5 linked regions of the Ovis aries genome follow. The protein of the gene in region 3 purifies or fractionates together with the protein of the main gene of each other region. This does not show direct contact. Links are inferred from orthologs where the notes say so. Each region holds a gene or a part of one and is shown on either strand. Other genes may lie near its edges.

Region 1 (3,055 bases), on a different chromosome or scaffold from region 3:
CCTCCTCAAGAAGCTCTTTAGTTCCTCTTCCCTTTCTGCCAGTGGTATCATCTGCATATCTGAGGTTATTGATATTACCCTTGGCAATCTTGATTCCAACTTGTGATTTATCCAGCCTGGCATTTCGCATGATGTACTCTGCATATAAGTTAAATTAGCAGGGTGACAATATACAGCCTTGTCATATTCTTTTCCCAATTTTGAACCAGTCAATTGTTCCACATCCAGTCTTAGCTATTGCTTCTTGACCTGCATTTTTAAAGGTAGGAAATGTACATCAGATATATGTTTATATCTGATTTCAAAACAACTGTAGCCCATATTCTGAATTCAGGAAGAACCAGCCAACCCACCAATTAGTGGCATTAGCTAGAAGCCTATGATGGGAGGAGGATCAGTTGCCCCACTGCCACGGTCGTGACTGCGACATTATTAATTTTGTTACTTAAATCAATTCAGGCCTAACACTGGTCTTTACCTTATGGGGAAAAAAGAAATTAACAAAACTCATGGCTTCGATGAGCTACTGGTATATTTAATACATGAAAATAAATATATGACTACTAAAATTTTTAAATGTCCACTCACATACCACCCAGATCCTCGTGTTCCCCGCTGGTCCACACATGGTGCCTGGGAAAATTCCTGAGGCCTCCAGACTCAGCTGGAAACTTATCCTGAGCAAGAGCTTGGCTTGAAGGGAGGAAGAGCCCTCCAGGTTGGCAATCACACTATTTATTCACACTTGGCGGTGAGACAATGTTGTGGGTGTGATGGAGGAGGTGGGGGCCCTCCTGGGGGACACCCCCTGGGTTGGCACTGATACGCCATGTGGCCGTGACAGGACTGGACACAGGTATGTCAGGGTTGACCCTCCAGTCCGTATCAGTGGGGAAAGCAGGGAGCAACCAGAGGTGGTCAGAGGGGGGGCACTGCCCACCATTGCTCTGTCTGTCCCCAGGAGGGCTCCACCAATGCCTTGTGGTCTCCCCAGGGGCCTGCCCAGCAGCGCCATTCTCTGAAACTCTGCCCCTCGCTGTGACCCCATGGGCACACCTGCAGAAAGGACCAAGAAACTCATTTCCAAGGGGGCTTTGTTTTCTGGGTAGCCCTACCTTGTCGGGGGGTAGTTGGCACTGAAACACTGACTGAACGAGCCCTGGGAGTCACCAGGGGGCTCCGGAAGGTCACCCCTGATGGGGCAGGCCTGGGATCTCGGGGCCCATTTGTGCAGGGACTACTGGCGGGTGGGTGACCTGTGCTAGGGACATCAAGGTGGGTGAGGGAGTGGGAACACTCCCGCCTCAGAGGGCGTGGAGTGTCTAACCCAGCCACGGACAGCCTCCGGGAGCCGGCCACTACCCTGTGCTCTGTCTTTGAGAGATCAGCTGGGTGAATGGCCCGCACTGGAGTCTCCCTGGGGCGGGGAGAATGGCTGCCCCTAGGGGTAGCTGGGGGTGTCCAGAAGAGGGCGTGGAGCTTTGCAGCATCACCTCTCGCCATCCACTTGGCCTCCCAGCCAGCGCCCTCCGGTCGGGAGCCAAAGAGAGACTCCTCGCAGTAAGAAGGAGTGTGGCTGATCAGTCTGGGAAGGGAAGAGAAACAATGAGCTGGGGAAATAAGCCTTGTAAACTTTCTTACCCCTCCGCCCCCCACCCCCAGCTAAGCCCCTACAGCAGCAGATGATTGCCTGTAGATCCCAGAAGTACCCACAGGGAAGCCACAGCCCTCAAGTACCACTATTCCCAGCTCTTACTATTTTTCCCTGGCAGAGCATCCAGTCCTCCTGCATCCTCCCCACCCCATCCTGGGCATGTGCCCAATTGGCCTAGTCCAGCTCAATTTGCATACCCCATCCTCCTGACCACACTGATTGGCTCAGGACTAACCACATGACCCATTCTGCCCAATGGGAGTCTCCCTTAGAATCTTTGCGTTAACTACTAGGAGAGAGATGTCTTTCTTCCACTGAGTGCTGAAGAACAGGCAGGAAGGATATAAGGGCAAAAGAGCTGGTGGCCATCTCACCTGGAATGTGTGTGAGAAAGAATCCCAACAACATTTTGAGCCCCTGTTATATGAGCCCCAAATGTCCTTTGTCTGCTGAGGCGCGTTTAGCTTGTTTGCAAGCCCAATCCTTATGTTATTTGCAACCAACATTAATATAACCTTAGTCTTCAGAGCGTTCACTTTTTCTTTTAACTCACCACTTCACCCTTTTCCTAGTGGCCCTGTCAGCCGAACCGTCTGCAGTCATGTGGCCCTTCTAACTGTTTCTGAAACTGCACAGCCAAGAACCCGGCATGTAGAGGGTGCTGTGACCTGGCCATACCACCAGAGTAGCTTTTAAAATTTTTGAATATTTACTCAGGGTTTTTCATGTATAGGCCCAGGACTCAGCTTGTCACCTGTGTTATCTCATTATTTCTCACAAAACCCACAGGACGGCAATATGATAATCCCATTTTATAGACAAGAAAACAGAGGCACAGGGAGGATAACAAGGAAGGTATAGATAAGATTCAAATCCAGGCCCCCACTCAAGGGCTCAAGTTCCTGATCACTAAGCCAGACTTAAATGCCTTCAAGGCCTCTCACTTTTAACTAGATTCATTCAGCATTTTTTTTTAAATTAATCTCACAAATGTTCATGGCATATCTATGAGGTGTGAGGTCCATGACTTTCAGCCAGAACTAAAAGTGCTCCCCATTCCCAAACTTCAAGTCTTTGAAAAGTCAACATTTTGGCCACTTGATTTGGCTGTTCAAACCCAGATCTGGTTGATACCTACGTCTGTCTGGTTCCAAAGTTTCTGCTTAATAGCATCTCTACCTCTTATGTACCTTCTAACTTGACAGCCTCTACCTGTCAGCATCCAGCACAAAGTTCCAACCTCCAGGAGAGCATGAGGTTGACTGTTGCCTTCCTGTCATGGACTTCTGTTAATGCAGCCTACAGTGAACTCAGCACTTTCAGCCACGTTGTAGATGTCAGTGCTGCTATGTCAACCTGAGCCTGCCCTGTGCTCCATGGGAACTGTCAAGTAGACATGAC
Region 2 (3,516 bases), on a different chromosome or scaffold from region 3:
AGGACTCTCCTCCCTTTTAAACATGAGTTCAAAGTTTAAATTCTCTCCAGTGAAGGTTATACTCCATAAGCATAATCTTAGCCAGAAGAGGACCTAACCTGAAACTTTTCCAACAGAGACCAGAGTTTGTGAAAAGAAAAGGAAGCTGAGTGGATCATCTGACAGGGCCTACTCTGAGAAGGCCTAATAAGTGGTAATATTCTAATACTACTGAAATAGTAGTTCTCTGTTTATTTTTATGACTTAGTTTGCTTTTCTGTGATCACAAAAAAAAATCATGCACATGATGCTTAAAATCTTTTAAGAATCCATTTTTTAAAATAAGAAAAAAATGTCCTGAATTATATTCATAACTTCTTTCTTAAACAGTCAGATAAAAAAGAAACTGGGAAATTATCTTTTCTAATAATTTCTAATCTTCTCTACACAATAATGGTCTGTGCAGAAGCAAATGTGTAATAAGAAATGTCTGGCTTATTCAAATCCACTCCCAAATTAGAAATGTCGGCACAGATCAGAAATGTATAATATTTGTAAACATTCTTTTTGATTCTAGTAGCAGGAGTCAGGAAAGAGGACCTAAACTTTCCCAGATAGAGCTCTCTCCCCTGTCCAGATACACATTTGACTCTCAAAGCATCAATCGTATTTATGCAGAAAATCTCTGCACTTGCCCACCACTGCATTTCTGAGCCTTTGTTCGATCCCTTGCCTCAAGAAACACAGAGACAGGCCTCCTGCTGAGAAGCCCCAATGACAAATAGTTTTCAGCTGGAATCCTTCCCTTTTGTAGAGGAATAAGGCAAAGCCAGCTGGAAACTCGCCATTGCCAAAATCTGCCCTCGAAAGACGGGGACATCAAATGGAAGTGTCCAGGCCAGGCCATCACTGTGGTGAAGGAAGCAGCTGTTGTAGAAGGAAACAGGGGGAGCAGTAAGAAAGAGGCTGGAAGAAGCCCCTTCTAAACACAGAGCAGCCCATTAGTAGACTGGCCTGGCAGGGCAGCGAGAAGAGGACAGTCTCCTATTTAGTGCAGATGGACCTAGCAGGAGAATAAGAAGTGAAAAAGTCTTACCTGTGGCACACTGGCACTCATAACCATTCGGGTGATCTATACACTTTGCCCCATTCAGACACGGAGTACTAGAACAGTCGTCAATATCGATCTGGCAAACTGGCCCCGTGAATCCTTAAAAGGGCACATGATGACACACATCAAAGGATTATCCTATGTTTTCCTCACTATCAGAGTGATGCCCAGAAGAGCTGGGCCATTATTGGCAGGCTTATACCCCTGGATCAGCACGTGGAGAATTTTTCTCCTGAACAGGTACCTGGGATAACGGGTGAGGCTCAGGGCATCAGAGGCACCGGGGTGTCTCTCTCACCTCTTTTTCTTCCCAGTATAGATTTCACTTCAACTTAAAGTAGGAACTGAATGCATACAGACAGAACCCCCTAAGAAGTGAATGTAGCTGCACAGGAACTGGGACCTTCTCTCTGAAGAAACAAGAGAGGCTATAGCCTAAGGCAGAAAATTCAGCATGGCTTCCACAATGGCTGAGGGGGGGCAAAAGGAGAGACACAGCATTCTTTGGAAAGAACTGACTTGTGCTATTAATGTACCCATGGGTGAAATGTCTAAAAATAATCATCTCAGAGAAAGGTTTCAAGAATATAACTCACAGGAAAAAATAAAATCCTGAGTAACCTAGAACTAAGGGCTTCCGTGAGGTATGAACTTTCTGAAATGTACACACAGACGGCGAGGTCATGGGCCATTCAGAATAGACTTGGACCTCTGGCCACAAAGGATTTGGAAGATATTCTAGCTGAAGCAAATCCCCCACTTCTATACACACACACTCCTATCCCAAAGCGCTCACTTTAATGACTTCCTCATGTAGAGCCCACACACATTCTCTCCCTCCTCTCTTCCCTGCGGTCAGTCGGCTTTGTGCTTTCAAAGAAAACAGGGGCAGGTGGTGGGCACTTACCAGGCGGACACAGACACTGGAAGCGATTGACTTTATCCACACACTGTCCATTGTTCACACAAGGGTTGCTCTGACATTCATTGATCTCCAACTCACAATGCACACCTTTGAAACCTGAACAAAATGGACCACACAAGCGGCTTAGAAAAAGACAAAGGCAAATTCTAGCCAAGAAAGCACAAATTCATAAAGCTGACTACATCCTCTATGCGTATGAACATTTCTGCAGAGGGAAAAGAGGACTATGCCATGATTGAAAACAGTCACTGTGAGCATCAGTCAGACACGGGCATATTCTGGGATATCCATGTCACTGTGGAGACGGAGAAGAGGTTACCTCCAAAGACCTTAGTAAGACCTAGCATGCCAACAAAGACTGAACTACATTCTCGGATCAGTCCAGGCATTGCTTTCAGGACAGTGCCAGGCCCACAGGGTCCCCAGTCCTAAGGACCAGCTGAATGAATCAGAGATGCTGTTGTACTCAGGGTGTAAGTCAAAGTCAGGAGGGCCTGCCAAGGCTAGAGTGGTTAGCACCCGTTATCAGGCCAAGCAGCCCCTGACAGCTGTCATTTTAAGCTAAAGTTCAGCTGTGCTCTCTAAGGATTTAAGCAGAAGTCTCTGCAGAAGAGTTCCAAGATATAACACAGCATGTGTATCTCACCATGAGATAAACAGCAAGTTCCTATACAATTATGGGTAATATTATTTTCTATAAATGGAATGGTATGCTATTTGTAATATATCAGGGGATAAGGAAAGCTTGCTATTTAAAGAATTTTTATGATAAATACTTTATTAAATCAAAGTATACTTGCATTTTAAAAATCTTCTGAATTTTTCTCTCACAAGTATCTGGGTTTTGACATGATGGGACTGTTTTCCATAGATCTAAGAATTTTAACATGGGCCTTAGTCCTTAAGGGTCCCCTTGCATATGTGCATGCTAAGTCACTTCAGTCGTGTTCGACTCTTTGCGACCCAATGGATTATAACCCAACAGGCTCTTCTGTCCATGGGATTCTCCAGGCAAGAATACTGGCGTGGGTTGCCATGCCCGCCTCCAACCCAGGGATCAAACCAATGTCTCCAGCGGCTCCTGTACTGCAGGCAGATTCTTTACCACTGAGCCACCAGGGAAACCCTAAGGGTCCTGTGGCTAGGGATTAAATGCCAACAGAGCTTACGGAAATGCCACACTGTACTGAGTGCTCTGCCTAAGACAAGCACAGTGCAAGGTCTCTGGTCTAGACCCCACACACCGACGGCCCATGTACCTGGCATGCACAGACACGTGAAGCCTCCAATCTTATCCAGACAGGTGGCATCATTCTTGCAGGGGTCTGAGTGGCACTCATTGATGTCCATCTCACAACGAGGTCCTGCATAGCCCTTCAGACACTCACAGTGGAAGGCACCATCTGTGTTCACACATTTTCCTGCATGCTCACAAGGATTGCTGTTGGCTGGAAGACACAAGCACCCATAACCAGGATCAAAGCACTCGATGGAGCTTCCA
Region 3 (4,291 bases):
GTTGATGGGCACTTGGGCTATTTCCCTGTCTTGGCTATTATAAATAGCGTTGCTATGAACATTGGGGTACATGTGTCTTTTCAAATTAGAGTTTTTGTTTGCTCCTGATACATACCGAGGAGTGGAATTACTGGATCATATATCGGAGAAGGCAATGGCACCCCACTCCAGTGTTCTTGCCTGGAGAAATCCCATGGATGGAGGAGCCTGGTAGGCTGCAGTCCATGGGGTTGCTAAAAGTCAGACACAACTGAGTGACTTCTCTTTCACTTTTCACTTTCATGCATTGGAGAAGGAAATGGCAACCCACTCCAGTGTTCTTGCCTGGAGAATCCCAGGGACGGGGGAGCCGGGTGGGCTGCCGTCTCTGGGGTCGCACAGAGTCGGAAATGACTGATGCGACTTAGCAGCAACAGCAGCATAGTAGTTATAATTTTAGTTTTGTTTTCCTTAGTGGCTGCTAAGATAAATATTTTTTAAAAACAGTAACTTCTCTGCATATTAGAAATAGAGTTATACATAGAAATTACAAAATAAATTCTTAAAAAATACTGTCATGAATAAATTTAACAAGGGAAGTCTAGAATGTATATGAACAAAGTTATAAAATTTAATTGAAGGAAATAAAACATGTCGAATAAATGGCGAGACATACCAAAATCTTGGATTAGAAAAAAATTATGAAAATACAAATCCTTCCCAAGTTAATATAAAAATGTTATTGAATCCAGTCAAAATCCCACTAAGGACGCAGTAATGGAAAGGATAAGAAAAAATAAAAATTTAAAAATTGTCAAGAGAATCTTGAACAAGAACAATAAGGGACATTTTGCTGTACCACATATTTTAAAAAGATACTGTGAAGCGACTGCAATAAAAATATTACAGTATGTTTATAGATAATAAATAGTTCTTTACAGCCTTACAGACCTTTCTTTTTATGAACAAGGTGAGTATGGATGAGTCAAATCTGACAGTAGGCTGTGAGGTCCCTCAGCAAAATAAGATCCCATTGAGCTCTGTCCCCTGAGCAGTTCCATTTTTCCCCTCTCCACCTAGTCAATGAGTCTGACAAAATACTTAAAGCAAACACCAAACTGGTACCTGCTTTTGAGAGAATTGTACAGGAGATCTTGTTACAGCTCTCAGAGAGTTTGAAGTCTGGTGAGGGAGCCTGGCAGGTAAAGTACTGAAGCGCAGCACATCTGCCTGTAGGGTGCTTGCCTCCTCCACTTCTGTATGTGTACCTGAGCCCAAGTCTAGCAGGTTATATGTTTATGGTCCCTTGGCCAGTGCCAGCAGCATTTTCCCAAAGAGCCAAGCCAGTGAAAGTCACAGAGAAGTTAATGTCCTGCTAGCAGACAATCAGAATGTGAATTATATTTCACTAGAACAATAGGTTTTCAAACTGACACTCTTAAATATTGTAGTATACCAAAATAAATTTTATTTTTATATGCTAGAAATCAACAATCTGAAAATGAAATTAAGAGAATTCTATTGACAGCACCTATTTTTTTTTTTTGAAAAGAAGAAAGGACTTAGGAATAAGTTGAACAAAAGAAGTATAAGACTTGTGCACTGGAAACTGCAGAGCATGAAATAAGTAAAGGAAAAACCAAATTAATAGAAAAACAGCTTGTTTTCATGGATTGGAAATTTAAGATGATTAAGATGGCAAGGACTTCCCTGGCGGTGCAGTGGCTCAGGTTGCACACTCCCAATGCAAGGGCCCTGAGTTTGGTTCCTGGTCAGGGAACTAGATCCCACATGCCACAACTAAAGATCCAGCAGAGCCAAATAAATAAACATATTTAAAAAAAATATATATATATGTATATGGCAGTACTCCTCAAGCCAATCTACAGATTCAATGCAATCTCTATGAAAATGACAACTGATTTTTCTGCAGGAATTGTCCGTCTGGTCGTAAAATTCATGTTAAAATAGAAAGGGCCCAAAATAGTCAAAATAATCTTTTAAAAAACAACACATTTGGAAGACTCAGACCCATTTCAAAACTCATTACAAGGCTGCAGTAATCCCAGGACTATGTAGTATATGTGTACAGATAGAGACAGAGATCAGATAGGGAGCAGAGTCCAGAAGTAGAAGTAAACCTAGACATCTATAGTCAATTGGAATGATTTGGTCACATTAAATACAGGATCCCCAGTTAAATTTAAAGAACAAATAATTTTCTAGTAGATCTTGAACAATGTTTGGAACATGCTTATACTGAAAAAATTGTTCATAGTTTATCTGAAATTCAAATTTAACTAGACATCCTGTGTTTTTATGTGCTAAATTTGGTAACCCTGAATAGGGAGGCAGGACAGACAACTTTTGCCCACATTGTCATATGCCAAAGGCTCCGGGAAGGGGCTGGTGGGAGTTCTAGGTATTTACTTAAATTTCTGCTAAAGGAATTCTATTTTCTTTACAATAATAACCTTTAAAAGAAAAATATTGCAAAGTGGTAAAATGCATTGTACATCTCATTAAAAAAAAAAAAAAAACCTTTGGCTTTGTGTAGAACCATAATTAAAATTATTAAAATAGAGAATGAAACAGAATGTAACTGGATTTACCATAATCATTGCAATAATTAGGGAATGTTCCCCATTTCCCCATAAACAACATTTCACTCTGTCAGGCTCTTTCCCCCCATCCCACCCTCCCCCCCAACATACTGTGAGTGGTCTGAAAATGTACGCTGGGATCTTGAGTTGGCATTTCCTTTTAGTCCCTTCCGAGGTCACTCTGTGCAAAGTTTACAGTTCTTTCCTTGATTACACTGTGCCTAAAGTGTTAAACCCCGTTAGCAATCACTGCACAGATTTCCTCAATGAGACCCTTGTGCGCCTGACAATGTGACTATTTGTTTGAAAGTCACTACCACTGACATTTGTGCTGCTCAGCGCTGTGTTACCAGTGCTTTCTTTATGTCACTGTTTCTCTTCAGTAACTAAGAAAAGCAAAACAAAGTACAAATAACTGCTTATTCAGAAAGAAATCTCAGATTGTTCCTTAAACCTGCTCCAGGCAGCACATACAGACTTTGGAGTGATCTGGAAAATATGAAAAACCCTTGGCTGGGAGACAAAACCCAAACTGATCTGCGGTGATGGCAAAAGCAGAAATACGAGCTCAATAATAAAAATGAATTTCTGTACAACTGCTCGTGGCTTCAGGAAGGAGGAGGAGTTCTCAGAAGTTCAACTATGATCTGATGTTTGAAAGGAGGCTGCATGGGAGGGAGGGAGGGAGACCCGGCTTTGTTTCAGGGCTGGTCCCTCAATTGTTGGTTGATTGATTGAAAAAGGCAAATGGGGCTGCCGTCTCCCTGCCAAGGGTTTTATTCTGCCTCAGCCCTCCCTGAGTGCCTGGAGTGTGGACTCTCTGTGGCCCTCACCTGCTGCTTTGTTCCAACAAAGCCAGCATCTTGCAGCCGCTGCCACTCACTCCTCTGAGCCGTTGTCCCGGCTGTCCTGAGTGTGTAAACCCTGCCACCCCCATCTGCCCAGCCACCTGCCTCCTTTAAATATCTTCCTGCAACCCCATGGCTTCTGGAAGCTCTCTGGAATTGTTGCCACCCACTTGTCTTTAACTGCCAACAGAATCCTCTCCCAGAGCCACTCTGAAAATGATTGTCTCATGTCTGTTGTGTGTATATCCCAACAGGCTGAAGCACATGTACTCGGAGGCAGGCAGACTAGGGCTCATTAATGGATTTTGTCTCTCGCCGGCTCTGTGACCTCCAGCGACAATAGTCATGATGATGCCTAGACAGCTAGTGAGCTGTTTTGCCAAGCAAGTGCTCAGCATGCCACGTGCTCCCTTTTATTTTCTCCCCATGTGAAAGTTACCAGTGGCGCTAGTGATAAAGAAGCCGCATGCCAATGCAGGAGATGTAAGAAATGCAGGTTTGATCCCTGGGTGGGGAAGATCCCCTGGAGCAGGGCATGGCAATCCACTCCAGTATTCTTGCCTGGAGAATCTCATGGACAGAGGAGCCTGGTAGGCTACTTTCCATAGGGTTGCAAAGAGTCAGACTTGACTGAAGAGACTTAGCATGCATTCATTCTCCTTGTTTTACAGACCAGAAAGCGGACTGAGAAGTAAAAGAAACTTGATCAAGGTCAAATAAATCCCTCCTGGTGGAGCTGGGTTTGGAATTCAAAGGGTCAAGCTCTTACTGGGGGACTCAGATATCAGGAGAGGTACCTTTATTATTTCATCTTCTCAACAGCCCTATGAAGTTTGTATTAGCCACATTATAGTGATGGGG
Region 4 (4,077 bases), on a different chromosome or scaffold from region 3:
TTCTAACTATGTACTTTCCACGAGTGGCATAATATACAGTATAAACAATGAACAGCAACTCAAATGGGAAAAAAACATAGGTTATTTCTGGTCTGTTAATTGCTATTTCCAGGACAGGACATTAGTCACTCCATGTATAAATGCTGGCTTCTAAAGAAAGGGTATACTGCTTTCCTGAGAACATTCAACAGAGCGAAGCCTCAGCTGATGAAAGGGAGGCTTATGCAGGAGCCACAGCTGCACACCTGGAGGTCCCACCCCACGCAGGGCGGGCTCCTGAGTCACCACTGAAAAGTGGGCTTTCAGAGAATTTCACAGAAAATTAGAAAGTCATTTTTGCCCTACAAACAGACCACGTTCAGGAGGCTTCCAAAATGCCTGGAATTCCTCTTTTGGCTCATTGGTCACAGGTAACCCAGTTTAGATGACACTTGGGATCAGGAGGGGGCTGTGTAGAGATGGTCCAATGAAACATTCCGTGCCCCTGAACTTTCCCTGGACAGATCCTCTCCCAGAACTGCTCTGTTCTGACACAGCTTTTCTGAACGTAGCACGCAATACATGCAGCACATTCTGCCTTTCACACCGGAGAGAAAGGCCCGCTGACCTGGCAGCCAACAGAACGTGTGTTTTCCGTTTCTCTAGTTGTGGCAAAGTAGCAGGCGGTTGTTTGGTAGTCATTCAAACTACAAAACGTTCAGTTTCACCCTTGAACGAGGTTTCTGACTACCACTTTCCTGTGATTTCCGGAAGCCAGTTCACTGGGTCTTCCCCACCTTGCCCACTGTTCCCTTTATATTCCGGCCTGGAAAGGGAGCTACATGATTTCACTGCCCTCCCATCTGCCCCATCCGCAACTTTAAAGGCCAAAGGGTAAGGAATGAAATCTGCAGAACTTTGCAAACGGTAAATATTCAATACAAAAGCATCAGTTCTTGTCCTTGAAAGGTCCTCTCAGTATGTGGATGGTCCCTAAAAATGGATTATGATCCATCCAGTCATCAGAGCCTCTACTCTGTCCACACAAAGTCCTTTTCAGGGCACTATGGGGCTTCTTTCTGTGAGCACTTCTTTCTCAACTGCTTTCATGGACCTATGAACCTAATGCAACAGAAGATGAGTTCTGATTAAAATAAACTATTAAAATAGTTCCTGATTTAAAAAATCATCTAGACGGTGCCAGTAGTTTGTCTAGTCAGAGTTAGAGCCTTCAGATTTACATAAAAGTTATGTCAGGATTTGGTGCCATTTAAAAACCCAAGGTTGGGTGTGTTATAAACGTGTCACCTTTGAAATATATTTCCCTATTCTGTCATTTAATTAGTAAATAAAACAGGGAGTTACTCTACTAGTTAACACACGTTCAAGGTCCACTGGAACAATTGCTACAGCTGACTAGTTTGTCTACACCCAAAGACAGTGTATGCTGGCCGATTACCACAATCTCAGGCGTGTGGTGCCATGTTTGCAAAGTGGCTCCTGGGGGTGGGGAGAAAAACAGACTGCTCTTGAACACTTGGGAACAAGGAAGACATTGCATACTGATTCCCTAAAGCAGTGCATTCCGTTATAGGGTATTTGTTTTAAAATATCAAAGTGAAAGTGAAAGTGAAGTCATATCCGACTCTTTGCGACGCCATGGACTGTAGCCTATCAGGCTACTCCATCCAAGGGATTTTCCAGGCAAGAGTGCTGGAGTGGGTTGCCATTTCCTTCTCCAGGGGATCTTCCCGAGCCAGGAATCGAACCCGGGTCTCCCACATTGCAGGCAGATGCTTTACTGTCTAAGCCACCAGGGAAGCATTCCATTATAGTGTATTTGTTTTAAAATACCAAAAGAGAAGTTTAAAAGTATTTCCATTGTTTAAATATTGACAGTCAATTACAAGTTTTAAAAAATGTTTTTTCCAAAAGACTGCCACTGATAATTACTTTGCTCCTTAATCTGAAAGCTGGGAGATGGCACAAAGTGCCTGGTTGCTAAGAAAGGGAACTGTTACTTAGGCAGAAGGCAACAGAACCACAGTGACGTTCCTGGCTTTGCAGGAGAGAGAGGCAGCAGGCTAACTCCAGAAAACTGGGCTTTCTGGGGAAACTGGCCATCCTTCAGGCCTTTGGCTCTATCTCGGGAGTCTTGTCCATGGCCAAAGGGCTTTCTCAAACTCAGGAAAACTCTCACTGTAATGATAATGATGCTCCAGAGGTTCTGAAGCTTTGACCCCTTTTCTGATGAGAACAGTTAATAATCTACATGTCATATCAAAAGTATCATAGCTGTTTCTTCGGGAAGACTCAAAACACAGCTCAGAAAAGGAGAAGGTATGGTTAAATCAGTATGGACTTTCTTAGTTATAACTCTTCCTCCTTCCAGCTCTGTATCTGATTGATCTTTTCCAAATACTTTAAATTCGATTTATAGCACTGTCAAGATGAAGATTTGTATCTTATAAATAACAACAAAAAAATCCTAATAACAAAGAAAATCTCTTTCCTCACAGTGTCCTCCAGCTTCATAAGATGTCCTGGAAACTGTACGATATAGTAGTATATTTAGATATTAAAAAATAAACTACTCAAACTGATGATTTTACTTGAGTAAGAATAATCTTTTGTCTTGAAAACAGCAGTTGAAGAAGGACAGAAAAGAGATGAGTTAGACTTATTTACTATTTAGACAAGACTAAAATAATTTCATCGAAAAGTATCTTTTAGACCAATGATGGATTCAGTGCCTAATAAAACTGTGCTTGCTAGAAGATAAAGAATATGAAGCTTTTACCTGAGTGTCTATGGGAAGCCATGGCTCAGACACCGAGTTCAGGAGCAGCACCTACGCCAGTCTTCCCTCGAGCCCAGCTGATAAGGCTGCGGCTCAGTTGTGAACATACATTTAAGGGGAAGTGGCTAACACAAAAATAACCAAGAGCAGATGGCCCACCCCTCCCCAGAGATCACAACCTTAATCCCACTAGAAAATTCTTAACCATTTTAGGTGATCCAAGGGAGAAGAATAGGACCCAGTAAAAATACCAAACACTACATATAAATACCTGTGGGGCTACTCAGCATCCAAATTAGCTCCAGAGCCAGAGAGGCCACATAGAAAGTGATCCCTGTACCGGAATAAAATTTAGACTCAGCCCTGGCATACCTTAACGCTGAGCCACCCTCATTAATCCACTTTATATGCCTAAAGAGCTTGCACTTGGTCTTCTGGAGAGTTTTTGTGCTGTTAATGATAAAAGTTACTATAAGAGATAAACTTATGTTACCAGTGTAATTAAAAGGGATTAGACATGAAGAATACACAGATCAAGGGCATTATCTCTGTCCTCCTTGGTCTGCACCAGAGATCAGCAGAATACTGAAGAGGGCAATTCTAGCCACGTATCTCCTTAGAGTCAGCGTGGGGCAGGAGGCAGCGGCATACACGCACATACACCTACTATGTACGCCAAGGAAGGGACACTGTCCTATAAACAACATCTCTTGCTTTTCACTGCCAGGGAGAGTCAAAGTAGAAATAGGGACAAAAACATGGCATCCTAACATGCTCTAATGGCTTCACGGGGCATCCGCTGGCTGGAGGCTGGTCACTGGGATGGAGCTCCAGGAGGAGCTGAGGTCCTGAGGATGGTCTGTGAGTCGGTCCCCCACCTCTGTCCTGACCCTTCTCTGGCTTCATGCCTGCCCCCCCTCAGCCTCACGCCCTCCAGACACACCCCACCTCAGGTCCCCACAGCCGCCCCCTCAGCACAGAGCCTCTCATGGCTGCTCCTCTGCTCCCTTCAAGGCTTTGCTCCAAGGCACTTTTGCAGTGTCATCTTCTTTGGCCACCCTGTTTAAAAGAGCAACCATGCTCCCCACCCCACTCTCCCTACTCTCTTCCCCAATCTGCTCCCCATGAAAGCTGTGTGTTAAAAAACTGAATTTAAAGACGAGAAGCATTAATCAAGACACATATGAAACGGAGACATAGGCCCACTTGGATTCCTAAAAAGTGGCCTTGGCCATTGAAGTTTAAGAAAGGAGACAACCTTCACTCTGGGTCATGCCATGTCTCATCTACTGCTTGTC
Region 5 (3,516 bases), on a different chromosome or scaffold from region 3:
TCTTCAGTGTACTGCTTTCCCTCCAGTACTCCATCTGAAAGAGTTTCCCCCTGTGCTTACTGCTTCTGCTATACTGAAGTGCTCTCTCCGTCTTCACTTTCCACAACGGCCCACAGGTAATACTACTACGTGGACTCTTAGCTTAGTCAAGACCTAAACAGTCATAGACCTTAAAAGAGAAATCCACTTGAATTTTTAGAAAGGATGTGTTAGTGTTACAAAGCAATTCTCTCTAAAAAGTGCAAGTCGTCTGAAGAGGCAGTGGCAGCAGTAGCAGAACGGAGTGGGGCCCCTCCTCTGGCCTGGGTCCTCTTTCCTCCTTCCCCTGAACCTCTGCTTTCTGGGGAGGGGATACCCGCCTCCTTACAATGCTAGGGTTTCCTGGGGAGTTCTAACGACTCTTTTCCTCTCCAATCTAGTAAATTAGTGCCATAAGGAGGTTTTCCACTTGGGCTGGAGAAATAAAGAACGGAAGGCAGAAAGAACGGTTATGGGAAATGAAGACAGGGTGAAAGAAAAGACACCTGTGCAGAACTCAACAATGATCACCTTCCTGATACAGTAAATACGAGTCTCCAGAGAAACTGCAAATGGTGGGGAGTCACAACAAGAGAGACACAGGAGCCCCAGTTTGTATTACAGCCTTTAGCCTGGGGTCCTGCTCTGAAAACACGGGAGGAAGGGACTCCTCAGCCCAGGTCCTCCTAAATGCCAACGTGGAAGAACAGCATTCTGGGAGAACGCGGGGCTGCAGTAACGACCGCATCTCTGCCACTAGCTCTGCTTCTCACGGCATCCTGTTCCTTTTTGGCACATGCAATTTTCCAGTGAGCCTCTCTTTGTCCTGAAAGCTGACAAACAGCAGGAATAAAAAAGGCTCTTAATCAAAAGGAAACCCTAAGTTTCCAATGCCACTTATAGATTTTAACCACCTACCCTAATCTGTTTTAAAACCTTAAAACCTTTAAAAAATCTTTTCTATGCTACAAATTGCAAATAGTTCCACTATAAAGTTTCAACAAAAATCTGTCCCAACATTGGGCCAAGTGGAGAAATCTTGGATTAGATCAAAATGATAGCACAGATTTTTATAAACCTGGCGTCGTGGGGTTTTACTGTTGGCTTTTTGGTCTTCTGGATTAAAAAACCACCTGTAGAACCCTGTCGTGCTGTGCCAACCCCATACAGTGACACCAGCAGATGGGGGCGGGCCAGCCCGACATACCAACTGCTGGCTGGGAGCCGTGGGCCCCCGGCCCCGGGAGGACCAGGCCTCAGCTCCGCCTGCCCGGCTCCCTGGGCTGTGGGCTTTTGGTCCAAAGTAGTTACTCTTTCTTGAATCTGAGAACAAAAATACAGGCTGTGTGAACACTGAAAACACCACAAATCCTCCTGCTACTGAGGCCCAAGGAGGTCGTCCAGATCACTCATCCACTCCTCCGAAGTCCTGTTCTTCAGCAGGGAGTCGATCAGGTCGGCGTCCCCAGCCATGCTGGCCAACCCGCCACTGCCCGGCTGCCCGCTGTAGGCGAAGGGCAGCTCCTGGCCTGCGGTCCGCACGGGGTAGGCCTGGGCACAGTGCAGGCCTGGCCGGCCGCCCATGGCTGGGGCAGGGCTCTGGCTGAAGGCCCCCAGCTCTGGCCCTGCCGGGCTCAGGCCCGACAAGCCCTGCTGTGGGGCTCCCTGGGGAGGTGCTGGGGCAGGGGCACTGGTCCTCTGCTGTGCGTTCACAGTGGGCAGCATGGACCCTGCCACAGCTGCTGAGCTCATGGGGGCCATGGGTCTGCTGGGCATCGCCTGAGAGAACTGCGGGCTGGACATTTTCAGGTGGGCCTGCTGCAGGTGGAAACTGGAGGCTGCAGTGAACGGGCTTACGGTGCTGTTTCCTGGGGGCTGGCCGCTCAGGTTTGGCATTCCCTGATGTTGCCAGGTGGAATTCTGGCCTCCCATGGCTGCTGATACCCTTGGGACCTGTGGCTTAGTTAAACCCGAGTTCAGGGTCCCCTTACTGTGCTGCTGGGAGAGACCAGAGTTCCCCAGCGAGTTCTGTCCATAGGCAGCTGAAACCGAGGTGTTCTGGCCCACGCTGGTCTGCCGCGGAATGTGGGCATGTCCGTTGGTGGCCTGTGGTGGAGGCTGGGCAACCATCTGGGTTATGCCGGAAGTCATGCCGTAGAGGCTGCTCTGGGGCATGCTTTGGGAGCCAGTGAACTGAGCCACACCCCGGTCCTGCTGGCCTGAGTTTGAGGGGAGAGAAGAAACCGAAGTGTGTCCAGGGCCCATTGGCATCAGATTCCCAGCCTGAGGGAACACTCGGGGACAGCTGGAGCTAGATGGACCCAAGCTGTTCACGCCAGGCATGGCAGAAGAGGGCCCTAGAAGAGAGAGAGAGTGCTGTCAGCCAGGCCAGCGCTGCTTCACCTCCACTAGGAGACACAGCTAAGACCCACGCAGCAACGGCCACCCCGCGGGCGCGCAAGGCAAGGGCAGTGTTCTGACACCCCACCAGACACGCACGATCACTGGAACCTTAGAGAAGAGAGCCCTGGGGGCCAAAGGCTCCCCACAGCATGGAATGGAGGCCGGTCTGGAGCGATAAGGAGATTAAGACAGGTACATTAAAGGAAGAAAAGGCACAGAGGAAGGGGCAAACTCTGTGGCCAGGATGTGGGGAGAGCGTCTGGGGTAAACGGAGAGATGGTCCTGGCCAGATCCAGAGGGGCTGCAGCCCCCACACGGGGACAGGGCTGTAGAGCCGCAGGGTAACTGGACTGTGGCTGGCTCAGGCCTCGCTGGCCGGGGACTGACAGGATCACTCGGATGAGGGCCCACACGGTGTGGTACCGCAGGGTGCGGAAGGGAGGCGATCAGAAGGCGTGCACCGAGCGCCTGCTCTGCGGCGCAGGCTGCGCTGGGGAGGCAGGGGCCTGTCCTCGGGGACCCTGCCGTGTGGGACTGTCTCAAGCACTGGATGCGTGGTGACAGCACTAACAAAGACACTGTTTTGTGCACGCAGGCGAGGGGCTGTTCAGGAGTTGGCCATAGCTGAGTACGCCTTGTTTCTCCTCTTCTGCTTTCCATTAACACCTAACTAAAGACTGAGTTGAAAAAGAGAGAAATGCTGAAATAACCCACTTCTTTCCCACTGACAACACACAGCAACAGTAAATGGGATAAAGGCAGGAAAGCTGGCCAAGGCTCAGCTTCTGAGCTGCCCACAGACTTCAGTCCCCTGTCAGCATAACGTAAAACCCACGCAGCCTCCTCTGGAAGCACGGCTGTGGGCACCACCACCAGGACATGTTATAGCAAGAGTCACTAACCGAGGAAAGCACAGGTTTTGAAGATAGTCCAAGAGCTAGGAAAGCAAGTATGGCCTGGACTTTTCTGCATCTATCAGCTGAACTCTCTCAGTATTTCTAGAGCAACAGCCTGCACAATGCTGGTCAGGCTCTCTCACGCATCTGAGACATGACAGCTGAGACCTCAGAACGCTTCCTGCCCCCACCAGATCAA

The links.
Region 1: the proteins of RBPJ (region 3) and RITA1 purify together in Homo sapiens (affinity purification with mass spectrometry; 4 studies listed by BioGRID and IntAct, with this or other methods). This does not show direct contact. The link is inferred for Ovis aries from reciprocal best matches to the Homo sapiens genes RBPJ and RITA1.
Region 2: the proteins of RBPJ (region 3) and NOTCH2 purify together in Homo sapiens (affinity purification with mass spectrometry; 3 studies listed by BioGRID and IntAct, counting the BioPlex papers as one, with this or other methods). This does not show direct contact. The link is inferred for Ovis aries from reciprocal best matches to the Homo sapiens genes RBPJ and NOTCH2.
Region 4: the proteins of RBPJ (region 3) and FHL1 purify together in Homo sapiens (affinity purification with western blotting; 4 studies listed by BioGRID and IntAct, with this or other methods). This does not show direct contact. The link is inferred for Ovis aries from reciprocal best matches to the Homo sapiens genes RBPJ and FHL1.
Region 5: the proteins of RBPJ (region 3) and MAML1 purify together in Homo sapiens (co-immunoprecipitation; 12 studies listed by BioGRID and IntAct, counting the BioPlex papers as one, with this or other methods). This does not show direct contact. The link is inferred for Ovis aries from reciprocal best matches to the Homo sapiens genes RBPJ and MAML1.

The regions. Positions count from the first base shown.
Region 1 is NC_056070.1:61,273,297-61,276,351, reverse strand, and holds the end of RITA1 (RBPJ-interacting and tubulin-associated protein 1), read right to left. Parts: intron 1,586-3,055; coding exon 1,078-1,585; 3' UTR 1,057-1,077; coding exon of another isoform or gene 740-1,056; 3' UTR 515-739; downstream 1-514. UniProt on the Homo sapiens protein: Tubulin-binding protein that acts as a negative regulator of Notch signaling pathway.
Region 2 is NC_056054.1:97,348,151-97,351,666, forward strand, and holds part of NOTCH2 (neurogenic locus notch homolog protein 2), read right to left. Parts: intron 3,464-3,516; coding exon 3,275-3,463; intron 2,112-3,274; coding exon 1,998-2,111; intron 1,190-1,997; coding exon 1,076-1,189; intron 1-1,075. UniProt on the Homo sapiens protein: Functions as a receptor for membrane-bound ligands Jagged-1 (JAG1), Jagged-2 (JAG2) and Delta-1 (DLL1) to regulate cell-fate determination.
Region 3 is NC_056059.1:46,288,023-46,292,313, reverse strand, and holds the start of RBPJ (recombining binding protein suppressor of hairless), read right to left. Parts: upstream 2,802-4,291; 5' UTR 2,694-2,801; intron 1-2,693. UniProt on the Homo sapiens protein: Transcriptional regulator that plays a central role in Notch signaling, a signaling pathway involved in cell-cell communication that regulates a broad spectrum of cell-fate determinations.
Region 4 is NC_056080.1:99,026,214-99,030,290, forward strand, and holds the start of FHL1 (four and a half LIM domains protein 1), read right to left. Parts: upstream 2,802-4,077; coding exon 2,780-2,801; exon of another isoform or gene 1-2,779.
Region 5 is NC_056058.1:1,319,110-1,322,625, forward strand, and holds part of MAML1 (mastermind-like protein 1), read right to left. Parts: intron 2,376-3,516; coding exon 1,396-2,375; 3' UTR 1-1,395. UniProt on the Homo sapiens protein: Acts as a transcriptional coactivator for NOTCH proteins. Has been shown to amplify NOTCH-induced transcription of HES1. Enhances phosphorylation and proteolytic turnover of the NOTCH intracellular domain in the nucleus through interaction with CDK8.